4 linked regions of the Xenopus tropicalis genome follow. The main gene of each other region encodes a partner of the protein of the gene in region 2 in a complex. Links are inferred from orthologs where the notes say so. Each region holds a gene or a part of one and is shown on either strand. Other genes may lie near its edges.

Region 1 (3,500 bases), on a different chromosome or scaffold from region 2:
AAAGAAGATCATTGTGAGAATCTATAAAAGTATAGGTCACTTTTTTATTGTATATTGGTTGACGTTTTTATATTGTTACTGCTGTCATTCCGGCCCAACTGAATTGACATAAGGACTTGAGAGGCCCTCTAGAGGGTACATATTGTTATAAGGTACTAATGTTGTAAAGTCAGCAGCATTTAAACTAATACTTTTTTATGCGTACCAGACTTAGGAAACATTAGTAGTAAATTAGTAGTAAAGAACCCCTTTGTACAAGAAAGTACTATAAGTACTGTAAAAACTTAACTTGGGGGAATGTCGGAATTAGCACATCCCACACCATGCTTTATTCCACACAGTTACATATCAAGGTAGTTGCTTTGGAATGCTTTACTTCTCTTGCAGGCCTTGTTTTTATTAATTATGTGGAGCAAGTATGCTCCTCATATGGAAGTCACCAAGAATAAAAGATTTCTTATTTGCTGCACAGAAACCCAGTTGTGTAGTTTCTTTAGTAGTAGAGACGTTTTACTATTTACACCTGCACACAGCTGTCAGTCTTATATTGATTGAGGAAAGATACCACAATAGTATAAATGTGTTTATTTGTTTAACAGATCGTCAGGATTCAAGAAGTCACAGTTCCAGAAGAAGTTCCCCTGAATCAGATCGTCAGGTGCATTCCAGATCTGGGTCATTTGACAGCCGGGAAAGAGCTTCCGAAAGAGAGCGTTACGAATATGAGAGAGAGCGTGACAAGGACAGAGAGAGAGAAAGGAGAGTTGGAAGACAGAGGGAGTGGGATCGGGAAGCTGATAAAGAATGGCCAAGAACCCGAGACCGTGACAGGATAAGAGAAAGAGAGCGTGAAAGAGACAGGAGGAGTGACATTGATAGGGAACGTGAGAAAGTTCTTCCTGACAGTACAGAGAAAGAACGAGTACGCCTTCTTGATATGCCACCCATTGCTGAGCCAAAACGTACTGATCTAAAGGAAAGGGACCTGGACAAAAATTATGATAATAGCAGCCGAAATATTTCAGCTGTGGATAAAATAGACCGAAACCCTGAAAACTCGCAGGATATCAGCAATAGCCGTAAAACTGAAAAGCCAGAGAGCTTTGATGGTAAGATTTTTTTATTATATCTTAAATTTTATTAATGTAAATTTTTTAATGAACCAATTAATATCTTTGCCCTTTTGCACACTAATGGCTTTTCGTAGAACAATTAGTGATTAATATAAGACACACATGTAGTGCAAAACACCAAATACACTTTGCAGTATATGATACTGCAGTGTGAAAACTACATTTGCCGTCACACACATACATTATATTTTTAAGCAAAAGTTTCCAAACTTCAACAAGAGTTGTTTGGCTTTCTTATGTAATGCGGCTGTTTTCTATGGGAGTAAAGTGGCCACTGTCAGTCATGCACCTGCATATGGACAGCTATTTTGGAATTGCTATTTTTCATGATATAGTTATTTATACCAGAAAAATATTTTATCTCAAACGTGCCAATATCTGAGAATTTTATGGAGATTTCTGTAGATCAAACACTCCCAGCAAATATTCAAAATATTGCAAACTTTAGATTCCAAAGCAAAAAATCTTGGAACATTAGGTTTATCCCAGGAAACCATATATTTTTGAAATGTGCACATTCTGCCGAATTCGAAATGGGTAACCATGTCTTTCTATTCCTTAGTACCAAACTACTAGAAATACTTTTGTGAACTTAGCAGTTATTATGAAAATTCTGAAAGATTGCCTCAAACCATCCACTTACAAGCATCTTATCTCCCACATAGCATTAGGTACCAAGAAAAAACCTCCTAATTAAGAAAGCCAAGGGTCCATTAAACATTTTGATGCCCATTATGCATAGGATTATTAAAGTATTTGGCATTTAGAGACCCAAAAATGAAGTTAGTGCATACATATTTCATGGCATATATTTCTACTACCAAAAAAAACCCTCAACTGATTTATGTGTAATAAAAGTGGCAAATAAGTAAGTTGACCCCAGAAAACTTTATATTTTCACAAAATACATATTCTTCCGAATTTAAAATGAGTAAATATATATTTGTATAGCAAAGCTAAGCTAAATGTAGCAGTTTTTATGTAATTTCTGAAAATTGTCTCAAAGCTTGCAATTTACCCTATTATATACCCCACATTTCGTAATGTAATAACATAAAACATTCTAAATATGAACGCCAGTTGTCTACTGAACAGTTTGATGCCCAATATGCATAGATTTAGCAAACTGTGGCATTCAGAGGCACCCAAATCAATATACAGGAGACAAAATTTCCATGGGCAAAAACAAGTAACAAAACAATGTGGAATGCAATAAAATAGCTAAAATCCAATAAAACCACTAAAATCAATGTCCCCCCCCCCCCCCCCCAACTTAGAAGTAATGCAGAACATAGAATCTACAATCTGTGGCAATTAGGTACTTTTAGTGACACAGAACATAGCATTTGCATTCTGTGGATTTAATGTAGGTTTAATGTTTATGCAGGCTAGTTCTTATGGCGAGGGCAGACAAAGCATTAATCCGCTTCTGTACGCAGCTCAGTGTGCGTGCATTAAAAGTTATGGCAACAACCAGAGTGTTCGCAGACAAAGCGGTGCGGATCAGCGGCTGGCCTGGAAAATACTAGCTTTTGCAGCTTTCGGGATTTTTAAAATTTTTTTTATAATTTTAGTTTATTGTAAGGAATTGTATACAGACAAGGCAGTACATCTAGGGGTATATTTATCATGCTGAGTAAAAAGTGGACTGAAGCATTACTGGTGATGTTGCCCAACAAATCAGCAATTAGATTTCAACAGTTAGAAAACTAAAGCAAAGCATCTGATTGGCTGCTATGAGCAGCATCACAGGTAATGTTTTTTACTTAACTTTTTACACAGCATAACAAATACACCCCTTAGAGTGTTCATTGTGTTCAATAAAGATTAAGTGTGGGGCTTAAGGAAGGAGAATTATTTATGTGCATGCACCTGCTTGGTATGAGGTTGCCGCTATGATCAAAAGAAGAGAGGGGGAGAGCTGATTAACACTGCTTTTTGGAACGCGATTCAGTAAGGGGCTGACTATAGGCAATGTTGAAGGTATTTCAAGGTAGGGAGGGGTCAAATATAATTTTGTTTAGCTGTCCATGTCATGTAGTACACACATCCAGAGGGGTTTAGTTCTCCTTTAAGTGCATGTGTCTTGTGAAGTTCTTCTCTTGGCCTTGCATTGGCACACACGCATAAAAAAGAAAAACATAAAACAAACAAGCCCTGCAACCACATCACATGTACAGGCTTTATGCCTTTTTATGGAACCATAATTGTTTGGCCCTCTGCTAAACAAATTGTTAAAAGGAAAAAACTGCATTAAAACGCAAAAAACACTAACTCAAAATCGTCATTGCTGGAATTTAAGTAAGCGCTCAGATACTGCAGAACTAAGGAAGAGGCTCAAGAGAACAAGCTTCTACCATCTCTACA
Region 2 (3,500 bases):
TTGAGAAGGAGGCCCTTGCATTCGGGGGGGTGGCGGTGGTCCTCTTGGAGCAGGCCACATCCCAGGGCTCATTCCCCCAGGTTGTGTGAAGGGAGGGCTTAGAGTTCCTTGATCTTCATTGAACTGAGGCAAAGAACTAGGATTATAATGATGAGGAGGAGGAGCATTAACTGGTGGACCACCATGTTGTGGTGGCGGAGGTCCTGGAGGAGGATGATTCATGTATGGTGGGATTTGAGCAATTATATGTCCCGGTGGGGGTGTTATTGGTGGTGGAGCAGTTGTCATTGGTGGTGGAGGACCTTGGCTGTAAACCATGTGAGGTGTCCCAGCTGCCTGAGGAGGGTGTTGCATTGGATGACTGATTGGAGGGGGTGGTGGAGGGGGTGGAGCATAGTGCTGCTGTGGAGGCATTATATGGTGAGGATGAGCCACCACTGGTTGGCCTGGATACTCTGGATGATGTAGAGTAGGACCAGGTGCCTGAGGAGTTTCTCTGGCACCAGAATTGGAATCATCCTGAATAGGCACTGTGATTAAGTTGCTATGCTGTCTAGTAGATATCCTGAAAGCATCCTGATTAACAGAGCGGGGTGGAGGCGGGGCTAAGGAAATTTCTGCTGGAGAGGGCCGAATATCATCATGTTGTTGACTGAAATGCTCATGAGGAACATGTTGCATTGGGGGAGGTGGCATCAATATATGTTGTTTTGGAGGCATATGACTTAGATGATGCTTATCTGGGGGCATTATAAAGCGATCTGGGATTTCTGCTGGGGGTGGGGCCAAAGGAGGATGGATTGGCTCAGGCTGAGGTCGGGCAGTTGGCTTGGTAGCTCTCATGTGACGGTGGTTAATGTGTGCCTGCAGATCTCTTTGAGATAAATATGTTCTCTTGCAACCTTGCACAATGCTACACATGAAGAGAGAGCCACGTGCACACTGCTCAATGCGTTGAACGGGATCATTGCAACTGAAAAGGAAAAAAAAAAAAACAGAAGTTTCTTAATGCTGCTTGGAAACATACTAATATTCACATCGATGTCCTATTTGAGACATTTTCTTAATGAATGAAAATCTTCCTCAAATTAATTTAACGTAAGATGAAAAAAATATTCCAACCTAGTATGAAAATTTCCTAGTTTTAAAAGTAAAGAGGCATATTTACTACAATTAAAATTGGGGATTTCTAAATGAAACCCCAGCAAATTAAACTTTATCAGAGTTATTTAAATTATTTGAAAGACAAAGCCACCAAAACCTTCAAATTATCGCCAGTTGGGGCTTATAATAAATTACAATTGCATATGCAATGTCATAATTTACCAGAACTTTAAATAATGCATATATAATTGCATATGCTGCCTCAAAAAGATAGGCATTGACGCAATACTCTAAAAACAGTCATGCAGTTACATCACATCATAATTTAATGGCTGCAAGAGTTTTAACGGGCAAAACCATCTAGAAACATTTAAGACTACAATATTGATAGAAGCTAAATGATTTGCCTTTAGAAACCTACCAAATGATGGAACATTAAAATAACTTAGGTTGCCAAGTTCTTAAGTAGCCCCCAGCAGTTCCAAAAAAAAAAAAAAACCCATCTTCAAAAAACATACCAGCCTGGAGCACAGTCCTCCAAGAATTGGAGGATCTACGAGATTTAAAGAAAATTGCAACTCGGCACTTGGTAAGTAGTGCCCAAGGCTGTGCTTTTTTTTTTTTGAAGAAGAAGAAGTGCCAGTCAGGGTAGCAGGTAAGCAACTGGAATCACTATGGGTGATGATGCAAACTGTATAAAGTTAATGGGCAGGGTCTCTTGCTCCTATTTACCAACATCTTGTGTCCGTTGCCAGTACTCCTTTGAATCTGTTGGAACTATATGCTTGAGCAGTAAAGTAAAAATCTTTAACTCAACTACTCATACTAAAAGGTCCAGCATAGCCAAAGGCATCGTTAGCACGAGACTTAGGCATTTTACATTTTAGGCATACCTGTGCAAGTGTGAAAGATGGGCAATCATATCCATAAGTGCTCAAGCTAGCAGAAGAAAGTTGATATCTGATGCACCACATTTCCAGCATGCATGCTGTATCTGCAGAATAACTATTTTTCAAACCACACTGTTGCCTTACGGTATCTTAGTGCTTATCAGATGTAGGAAATAGTCTCAGTCTGCATCAAGTTGAATCAGACCTAGTCATTTACATAGCATGATAAACAGCTACACTAAATCACAAAAGTGTATCCCTGTGGGTGAATAAACTGTTTAGGTTGCTAAGCCATAATCTGTCTCTGTTTAGCTACAGAAAAAAAGTAGTTAATTGAATGGATACAGAAACATACATTGTTAAACATCAGGTAAATTCTGAGGAAAACTCAAGTTTTTTAAATTCCTATTCCAGCTTTGATTTTATCAGTAAAGCCGTTCCAGATCAGTAAAAAAAACTAATTGCAAAATTTACCTAATGTTGGGCTGCATGTTTTATATCTTTTAAGTGTCAACATGCGGAAGGATGTGCATCAACTACGCTAATACTGATCGATATAAGAAATAAAGACAGCCCTTTTCATTAAGAGCTCACAATTGCAAAGATTTGAGCTTGCATCTATTTCAGCATCACTTTCTTTTTCTCATTTAACAGAATACAACCTTGAACCTTTAGTTATTGCCAAAGCACCAAACCTATCCCAACAATTATTAAAAGTAAAATCGCAATAACAAAATGTATGGGATCTCTAATTTGTAAGGTAGAGAAAGCTCCGAACAACAGGTCATGTCTCATACACTCCATGTATAGCAAATAGTTACTTTTTTTTCCCTTTCTTTTTGCAATAAAAATGTCTTGTTCTTGATTACATCTATGATAACATTAATCCATATTAGTGGCAAAACAACCTTATTGGCTTTAATATTAAAGTTATTCTTTACGTATGGTGATCCAGTTCACAGAGCCAGAAAACCCCAGCTTTTGAGCATTCTAGAAAATAGGTACCATACTTCTTGCCCAACTAAACTATTGCAATATATCAGTTTCAGTGAACTCATATAAAGAACCAGTGCTAATCAACAATAAAAAGAGCAATCCAGAACATTGCTATTTTAAAGCTTTCAAAAGTTTTTCAGGATGAAACATGTTTTATGCATAATAAAAAACAAACTCTGCTATATTTTTAAAACAAAAAGATTCCTTGCTCATCAGGAATTAAATGTAATCACGCTCATAAAATTACAACAAAATCATCCCCACATTCTGTGTGGCAAGGCTGTTCTTAAGTAAGTTGAGGTGTTAACATCAAGAAATGTAGCTCATCAGCAAATATGCTGCAATATTTTTTTGGGGAAAAAAACATTCCTAACCATATCTTTGCAGTTACTTAAGAAATTGCTAAACTATTAGAACCTACCTCATACGCTTAAAGGTGTCAGTACTTTCTTCAACAAGTGTTCTTTTGGGAGGGGAAAAAGAGACATTACACCACAAAATAAAAAAAAA
Region 3 (3,500 bases), on a different chromosome or scaffold from region 2:
TTCAAATGTTGACAGTTACAAACATGTCAGCAATACCACAAAAGGCAATGTACTCTAAATAGCACTAAAAATCAAATTGCTGGGAGTTACAGAAAATACATACCAACCACTACATAAGCCTTGTGTTTAAATTGTATGCTTCCTACTTATCAATGAATATCTTCTTCCTATTTGCATTTTTAGATGTAGCAAGGAACTCAACATACTTCCAGCTCCTTACTATGTGTGATATTCACATAATACAGAGATTAACAACACATTTGACTCTCCTTTTTGGCTCTATAGAGGCAAATGAGAATCACTATGAAATAAATATTTTGTAAAATTACTAGAAACAGTACACCTAAACTTCCACACATGACATAATCCCAATACACCTATCTATAACATGTGAAAAGCATACGAGACAGTAAAGGCATCATTAGGCTAGGATTAATCAAACAAAATGTCAACCTACAATACAAATCTTGACAAGAAAAATATTTTCACTATCAAGAACATAATTTTAAAATTGTGTGTATATATATATATATATATATATATATATATATATATATGTGCAGATTGTCAGGAATAATCAGTATGAATGGTTTGAGATATTGAAGGGAAGTGAGGTGCAACCATAAATACAAAATAAATTTTGTATTTATGGTTGCACCTCACTTCCCTTCCCCATCCTGACAACGATCCTATGAGGATCAAAACGCGTTGATGCGATGATTAAATAAACAAGAAATTTTTACTTTACATTTTGATGCCGTGAATTTTATAACATTTATTGATGTGCACTGCAAAATTATTGCAGGTGCATAACAAAAAGCCAAATTATTTAATGACTCGGGAGGATGCTTAAATTGCTGTAGACACTGTCAGCGTATGTGAAAAAATAAATCTAAACCCCAAAAGTGCCCAGTTGAGTATTTTTGACATACTACTTTTTTTTTTTAAGAAGTTTTTCATCCCCACAAGATGTTAACTGCAGAAATAAGAAAACTGATGACAAAAACTTACGCTAGAAATATGCATCATTGATGCTGTGAACCAAGTGGTCTACTTTATTGCTATACTGAAAGTAAAAAAAAAAAAAAAAAAAACTGGGCCAACACTAACCGTGCATTCCTGCATCTCCTGTTCCTTCGTGGCCAGTCTCATCACCAATATATTTTCTCTTCGGGCAGAATCTTGCTGTTGCTGCTTTAGCTTCTCCTCTGACTCCCTCAGTCCAGTGACATCATTAGCTGAAATCATTAAAAATATTTTAATGGAATAGGCTTACCTTTAAGTGTAATGTAAAAGGGACTGTTCACTTCAAGATTACATTTTAGGTCTTTGAAATCAATATACGTTACAGTTGGTCTTTTATACACCTACATACACTTTGTTCTAAATAATGAATAGCACTTGTGTTTAAACAGTTTTCTACCTTTTTAATTAGAATAAAAGTCCATGTTTTTCCTATGACAAGGCAATCGCATACAATTGGTCTTTTTATTTTATTTTTTTGCCTTACATATCTGCATCTTTCCAGCTTTTATCAGGAATCACTGACCACTAACCCTTTAAAGCAAAAAAAAAAAAAAAAACCTATTTCTCCTTTAGGCTACAACTGCAGCAGGAAGCTATGAAGACCAAGCTAAAATGGCAGCTGCTATCTTAAACAAACGGAGGGAGCTTCTAGGGCTCTTTACTCAGGTATGGTAAAGCTTCCTGCAGAATAAATATATTGTTCTAGGTGGCACTAATGTGGCTAATATATTGGCAGTAAAATGCCAAAATGACTTTCCTTCTCCTTTAAAAATCTTCTTTAAAGCTCTTCTTAAACAAACCCCTCTATTCCCCCAGCTGCCATCTGTGTCAGGCATTTGGTAAGGAGAAGCTCATTAAACAGAAGACATATCAGTGGACTGGTATTGTTGATAAACTTATTTCCCACCTGACAGTTGCTCCTAAACACCAAAAAGCAGGAAAGTAAAAGAGCTATATATTTTAGTTTTGTTTAATTTAAAAAACATGAAATATTTCAACAAAAAGTTTAGTTTATTAAACTGAGGTTGAACAAAGTATAGACTTCTAGGGCAGTGTCAATAAAAAATTAGATTAACAATAACACGGTTATTCCTTCAACCCTGATAACCAGAAAGGCCAATTGAAGAAAACATACAAAATAGATAATTTGAGCCACTTGAATAGATGCTTTTAATAGAGACACCTATAAAATACTATAACAATAAGATTTCTCCTCATGCAATTTATGTAATAGAATGAGGCATTACTATATTTGACAACTGAATTACTTTTTTTTTTCTTCTAAATCTGTAAAAATTACTCTATTCAGCCCTCGGAATAACATACCTTTTTCTATGTATCCAGATTTGCCTTTTTTATTACAGCCAGTTCAACTAGTCTTTTACAGACTTCCTTGTCTGAAGCTCACCCACTTTCTGAGCACTCCTCCTCTCTCAGACTACGATAATCTCAAAAAGGTGCTGAATGCGTATGCCTGATTGATTTTAATTGGTGCAGAGGCAGTGAGCCTGCCCAGTAGGCACTTCTTTGAGCTTCATTGTCGTAAAGAGAAGTGCTCAATAAAAGCAAAAGGGGGCAGAGCTTCAAGCTAGACAAGGAAGTCTGTAAAAGGTGCAGGTCAGCTGCTGGTAATAGGGAAAGTAAATAAATCTGCAAGCAGGGATTAAGGGGTGTTATTTTGGGGTCTGTTTAAAGTCATTTTATGTGATTTTTAAAATAAATGGCTTACTATCCTTTAACAAAATTAGGGATACACCTGATCTTGTATTTGACTGAATTTAAACCTTTTAGAAAGGTGTCCTAATCCAACCAGTTAACATCACAACCTTAGATTACAAGTCAGTCATAGGCAGAAATTGTTTTCATACACAAAAGTATTCAATACTCAAAAAATATGAATTCAGTGTATCCCTAAACAAAACCTACTTTTCAAACAAGGCTCCACAACTGTAATCAGTCTATGTATTTCTCTGCATGAAACATACATGGCACAAAAGCAGCATAAGTATTACTTCACGTAGCTACATCTGCAAATGTGAACCTTCATTTTTTTTTAATGCATAAGAAGTATGATTTCCCACTTACAGTTAAGATCTGTGTATTTATTTTCCAGAGCTTGCACATATGCTTCAAACTGCTTCCACCTAGTTGTGGGAAAAAAACAAAATCTAATTAAAATACTGAATAAATTATCTGGGAAGTTAAAGTGGCAAGGTTTAACAACTAACTACACATTCAAAAGTGCATGAACTACTCTCTGCACCAACCTTTGTGAATTAGCAAAGATATTTAGGACAAGATCTCTAACCATATTTATGAATAAAATGATTAAAGGTGGTGACAGACGGGGAGATTAATAGCCCGCAACAAATCTCCCTTGTCGCGGGCAACTAATCTCCCTGAAACGTCATCCCACTGGCGATTTACATTCTAGCCGGTGGGATGGCATTTCGGGGAGATTTGTCGCACGGCGA
Region 4 (3,500 bases), on a different chromosome or scaffold from region 2:
CCAAGTATATCATCTCCATTTATTTTATAGGAGTCCCTAGAGCCTAGGCATTCTGTTCTGACACACTGTAAAGCAGAGCCTCCATGAAAGGGTAGATTCAGGGAACAGGCAGAAATAATTTAACATGAGTACAAATATGATGTAAGAAATTGCAACATTTGTAGGGGGGAACACATGGCAATAAACACACATTGCATTCCCATGACATACCAGATATGGAATATATTTAAGAAACAGATTGTAAATTCACAGAATGTAATGTGAATGTATTTTTGTCACAATAAATAAGTTGCAAGAAAAGTGACACTGTGTATATTAGCTACTTTGTGACATGCAACTCAGCAGCACTAAGCATATCAGACTTGTGATTCCATCCTCCGAGGATATCTGGTGTAGTAAATATAGAATACAGAAGCACACTGCAATAACAGAGAATGTGAGTTACAAAGGCTGTGTGAACCAGTGTAAAGCCAAAATATAATAAATAATAAAAAGCAAGAGAACACAAAAAACTGGGCTCAAAGGATGTACCAAAATATGGTGCTCCCATATGAAAAAGTGACTTCAATAACGTATTCCACGTATTCCATGTTTCTATTAAAGTAGGGTAGAAATCTAAAATATGATCTAACAAAAATGTTCATTGTGCCGAAACTCAATGTCTGAATACAAGCGCAGTTTGTATAAATTATCCAAAACAATTATCCAATATAAATCCACTGCCATTGCAATGCATTAGAACAATTCATGGGAACTGGTTCCATAAATGTATTAAGGTAACAGTGCTGGCTTACTAATATAAACTATTCAATGCAAGGCATAAGTTCATAATTTACAAGCACAGAACTGGCTAAGAAAGAACACCAGCGTGAATATATGTGGCATGCGCAGTGGGTAAATGATTTTCTCAACCCTATCCATTTATGGGTGCTTAAGAGTTGAAGGACACTGGTGATTAAGCAGACAATGCTGCCTGGATACACTCAGATTAGACTGAGGGTTCACCTTCTCTATACAGCACCGTGGGACAGTATAGCCTTGAGCGATTTCCCACCAGTCCAATTACCAAACAGTTTCATTCACTGCAAAGATTCAGCAGCAGTGTTCTCTGCCATCTACATCAGCCATACAAACAGCTGCTTTTACATTTGCCATCCCAGGCTGCCTGTCACACGTGATTATACGTCCACTCACCTCCCTGTCGGATGTGGATACATGTGCTATAATGCAACCCCCATTGGAATTAGATAAAGGGCCAATATGGTTATCCCTGAGCCAGCCATTTTATATTGTTAGAGCACAAATATTGCATTCGCAATATATTTAATGTATTCAGCAATAGGAATGTAATCTCATTCTAGATGAAGCCTTACCTGGCCTTATAGTGCTATCCCTTCCAAAGAGGTGTAACCGTCTCCTTCCAAGGCAGAAATGCTCAATAATGTGAAAAATCTCCACTGGCTTTTCAATGTTTCCAATTTCAGGCTCCTCTGTGATGATGAGATCAATGTCAACATTTGCATGGATGAAATCTCCATCTGTGCTGCGATGAACTGTTCCCTTGATACCCATAAGGCAGTGCTCCTGCAAATAGACGTCCACAAACAGAATAATTAAAAGCTCTTGTGTGATTATAATGCTTGTACTTGTGCTAAGGAAAATGTATATTTAACAGTAAAACAGGCAGTTGTTCTTACTTTTGTTTCATTTTACAAACAAGATTTCTGTGGGGAGATCTGAAAGTGATTATTATGTACTGAGCGCAGAATCTTATTCATTTGTTTTTACTATTTCCTCAGGCAGATATCATTTTTGAAGAGTGCTTCAATTATAGGATTTAATATATGCATATATTTAACCAGTAATACATGGGAGAGAATGAAGAAGGTGCATATAAGACTTTTACTATTATAGTTAGATGAAAAATTAAGATGACTATTACCTCTTATCAAGGGCCAGACAAGTAGGTATTTGCTTGTGAAGCCTCTGTAGAATAAATATTTACAGTGGTGTAACTGCCAGGGGTGCAGCGGGTACAATTGCATCAGGGCCTGCTGGAGCCGCCATAAAGGTATATGGTGGGTGAAAGGGCTGGGGAGGAGGGAGAACCTGGGAGCAAATCCTGCACGTGGCCCACAGTACTTATGCCACTGTACACTAATGTTCTAAAGTCTAGAATCATCCAGAAAAGTTTATGATTTTTACAACATTGCGCCATCTCTGTGGTTAGCGCGTAAATGGTGCAAATTTAATAATGCAGCAAGACAGCAGTGTGAAACATACTACTGACTTATGCAAAAGCTATTCGGGGAAAAAACAGGAAAGTGGATTACTGTCTTTAAACTTGCACAATCAACTGAGCTCGTGTGGGAAGAGCTTCATCAGAAAGTCAGAGAATGCAGACTTTGATAAATAGAACAATAATCTGAAATTAAAAGGATGTTATGGCATTGTCAGTCTAATGGCTATAATTTCAACTTAATGCTGCCTCAATGAATAAAAGTAGCAATTTCTATTGAAAACATGAACATTTCTGGTGTCTAAACATATGACATAAATAACTATTCCCTTTTCCTTTCCAGTTATTGGAAAACTTCATCACAAATGTAGAAAAAAAAAAAGTTCAGAAACTTGTCTTCTGTGGGACTAACAATATGCATGTGCACTGCCAAGCAGCAGCTGAAAAGCTAGAAAAATAATTCCGCAATCCAAGACTGGTGTTAAGAAGCTTTATATTTCTTACAGATTGTGCATACATATGCATCAATATCTGGGATAGACAATGTAAGCTGCTCAAAATGGAATTATTCCTACAGGTAAATGTGTCATAGTTAAATCAAATCTCATGTAGCCAAGAAACTAAAAGTGCTATTCAGGATTGCCTGGTCTCCATTCTATAACTAGGTATGTATTGACTCTTTACTATTTATAAATATCTAAATGTGACTATATAAACATTTGTATATTTTTAAGGAAGCAGGTTAAGGTTGCTTACCAAAGACAGTCATATTAATGTATATTAATTAACATGTTTAGAAATGATCTAGGTCACACTGGCTTTCTGGGGGGCTCTGCATTTTTTGCCACCCCATGCACCCAACATATTATGCCTAAGCCTCTGCCTCACCTTGCAATGTAGCCAGTTGCAGGAGATGTGGGCCTTGAGTTTGTAATGAGTGAGGCTACAAATGTGGTCATGGTCACAAAATTTTCAGTGACACAAAAAGTACGTGTCTGTAAAACAACACTATACCTTTGTCCTCTGGAAGATTGCCTTTGGGTCTAAAGTCTTTGTTTTTCCAGGATTGTCCTTGTTTGTTTTAATCCAACAAATGTCTTCTGATCTTCTAAAACCCCATTTGCGCAAGCACTAGAGGACATTTAGAGAAGAAAATATTTTCACAGATATATTTTTAATTTTATTAAATACTCAATACACTGTTCAATCCTTTTGTGAGACTTGGGATGTCTGACTAAATGACACTAAGGCCTTAGGATAC

Evidence for each region. The genes of interacting proteins can lie anywhere in the genome.
Region 1: cbll1 (region 2) and zc3h13 share a complex: the UniProt entries of both Homo sapiens proteins name them as parts of the WMM complex. The link is inferred for Xenopus tropicalis from reciprocal best matches to the Homo sapiens genes CBLL1 and ZC3H13.
Region 3: cbll1 (region 2) and wtap share a complex: the UniProt entries of both Homo sapiens proteins name them as parts of the WMM complex. The link is inferred for Xenopus tropicalis from reciprocal best matches to the Homo sapiens genes CBLL1 and WTAP.
Region 4: cbll1 (region 2) and mettl14 share a complex: the UniProt entries of both Homo sapiens proteins name them as parts of the WMM complex. The link is inferred for Xenopus tropicalis from reciprocal best matches to the Homo sapiens genes CBLL1 and METTL14.

What each region holds. Positions count from the first base shown.
Region 1 is NC_030678.2:134,297,301-134,300,800, reverse strand, and holds part of zc3h13 (zinc finger CCCH domain-containing protein 13), read left to right. Parts: intron 1-599; coding exon 600-1,109; intron 1,110-3,500. UniProt on the Homo sapiens protein: Associated component of the WMM complex, a complex that mediates N6-methyladenosine (m6A) methylation of RNAs, a modification that plays a role in the efficiency of mRNA splicing and RNA processing.
Region 2 is NC_030679.2:76,284,477-76,287,976, forward strand, and holds part of cbll1 (E3 ubiquitin-protein ligase Hakai), read right to left. Parts: intron 3,454-3,500; coding exon 3,412-3,453; intron 974-3,411; coding exon 1-973. UniProt on the Homo sapiens protein: E3 ubiquitin-protein ligase that mediates ubiquitination of several tyrosine-phosphorylated Src substrates, including CDH1, CTTN and DOK1. Targets CDH1 for endocytosis and degradation.
Region 3 is NC_030681.2:44,100,467-44,103,966, forward strand, and holds part of wtap (pre-mRNA-splicing regulator WTAP), read right to left. Parts: intron 3,171-3,500; coding exon 3,112-3,170; intron 1,239-3,111; coding exon 1,111-1,238; intron 1-1,110. UniProt on the Homo sapiens protein: Associated component of the WMM complex, a complex that mediates N6-methyladenosine (m6A) methylation of RNAs, a modification that plays a role in the efficiency of mRNA splicing and RNA processing.
Region 4 is NC_030677.2:70,545,136-70,548,635, reverse strand, and holds part of mettl14 (N6-adenosine-methyltransferase non-catalytic subunit), read right to left. Parts: intron 3,371-3,500; coding exon 3,254-3,370; intron 1,585-3,253; coding exon 1,374-1,584; intron 1-1,373. UniProt on the Homo sapiens protein: The METTL3-METTL14 heterodimer forms a N6-methyltransferase complex that methylates adenosine residues at the N(6) position of some mRNAs and regulates the circadian clock, differentiation of embryonic stem cells and cortical neurogenesis.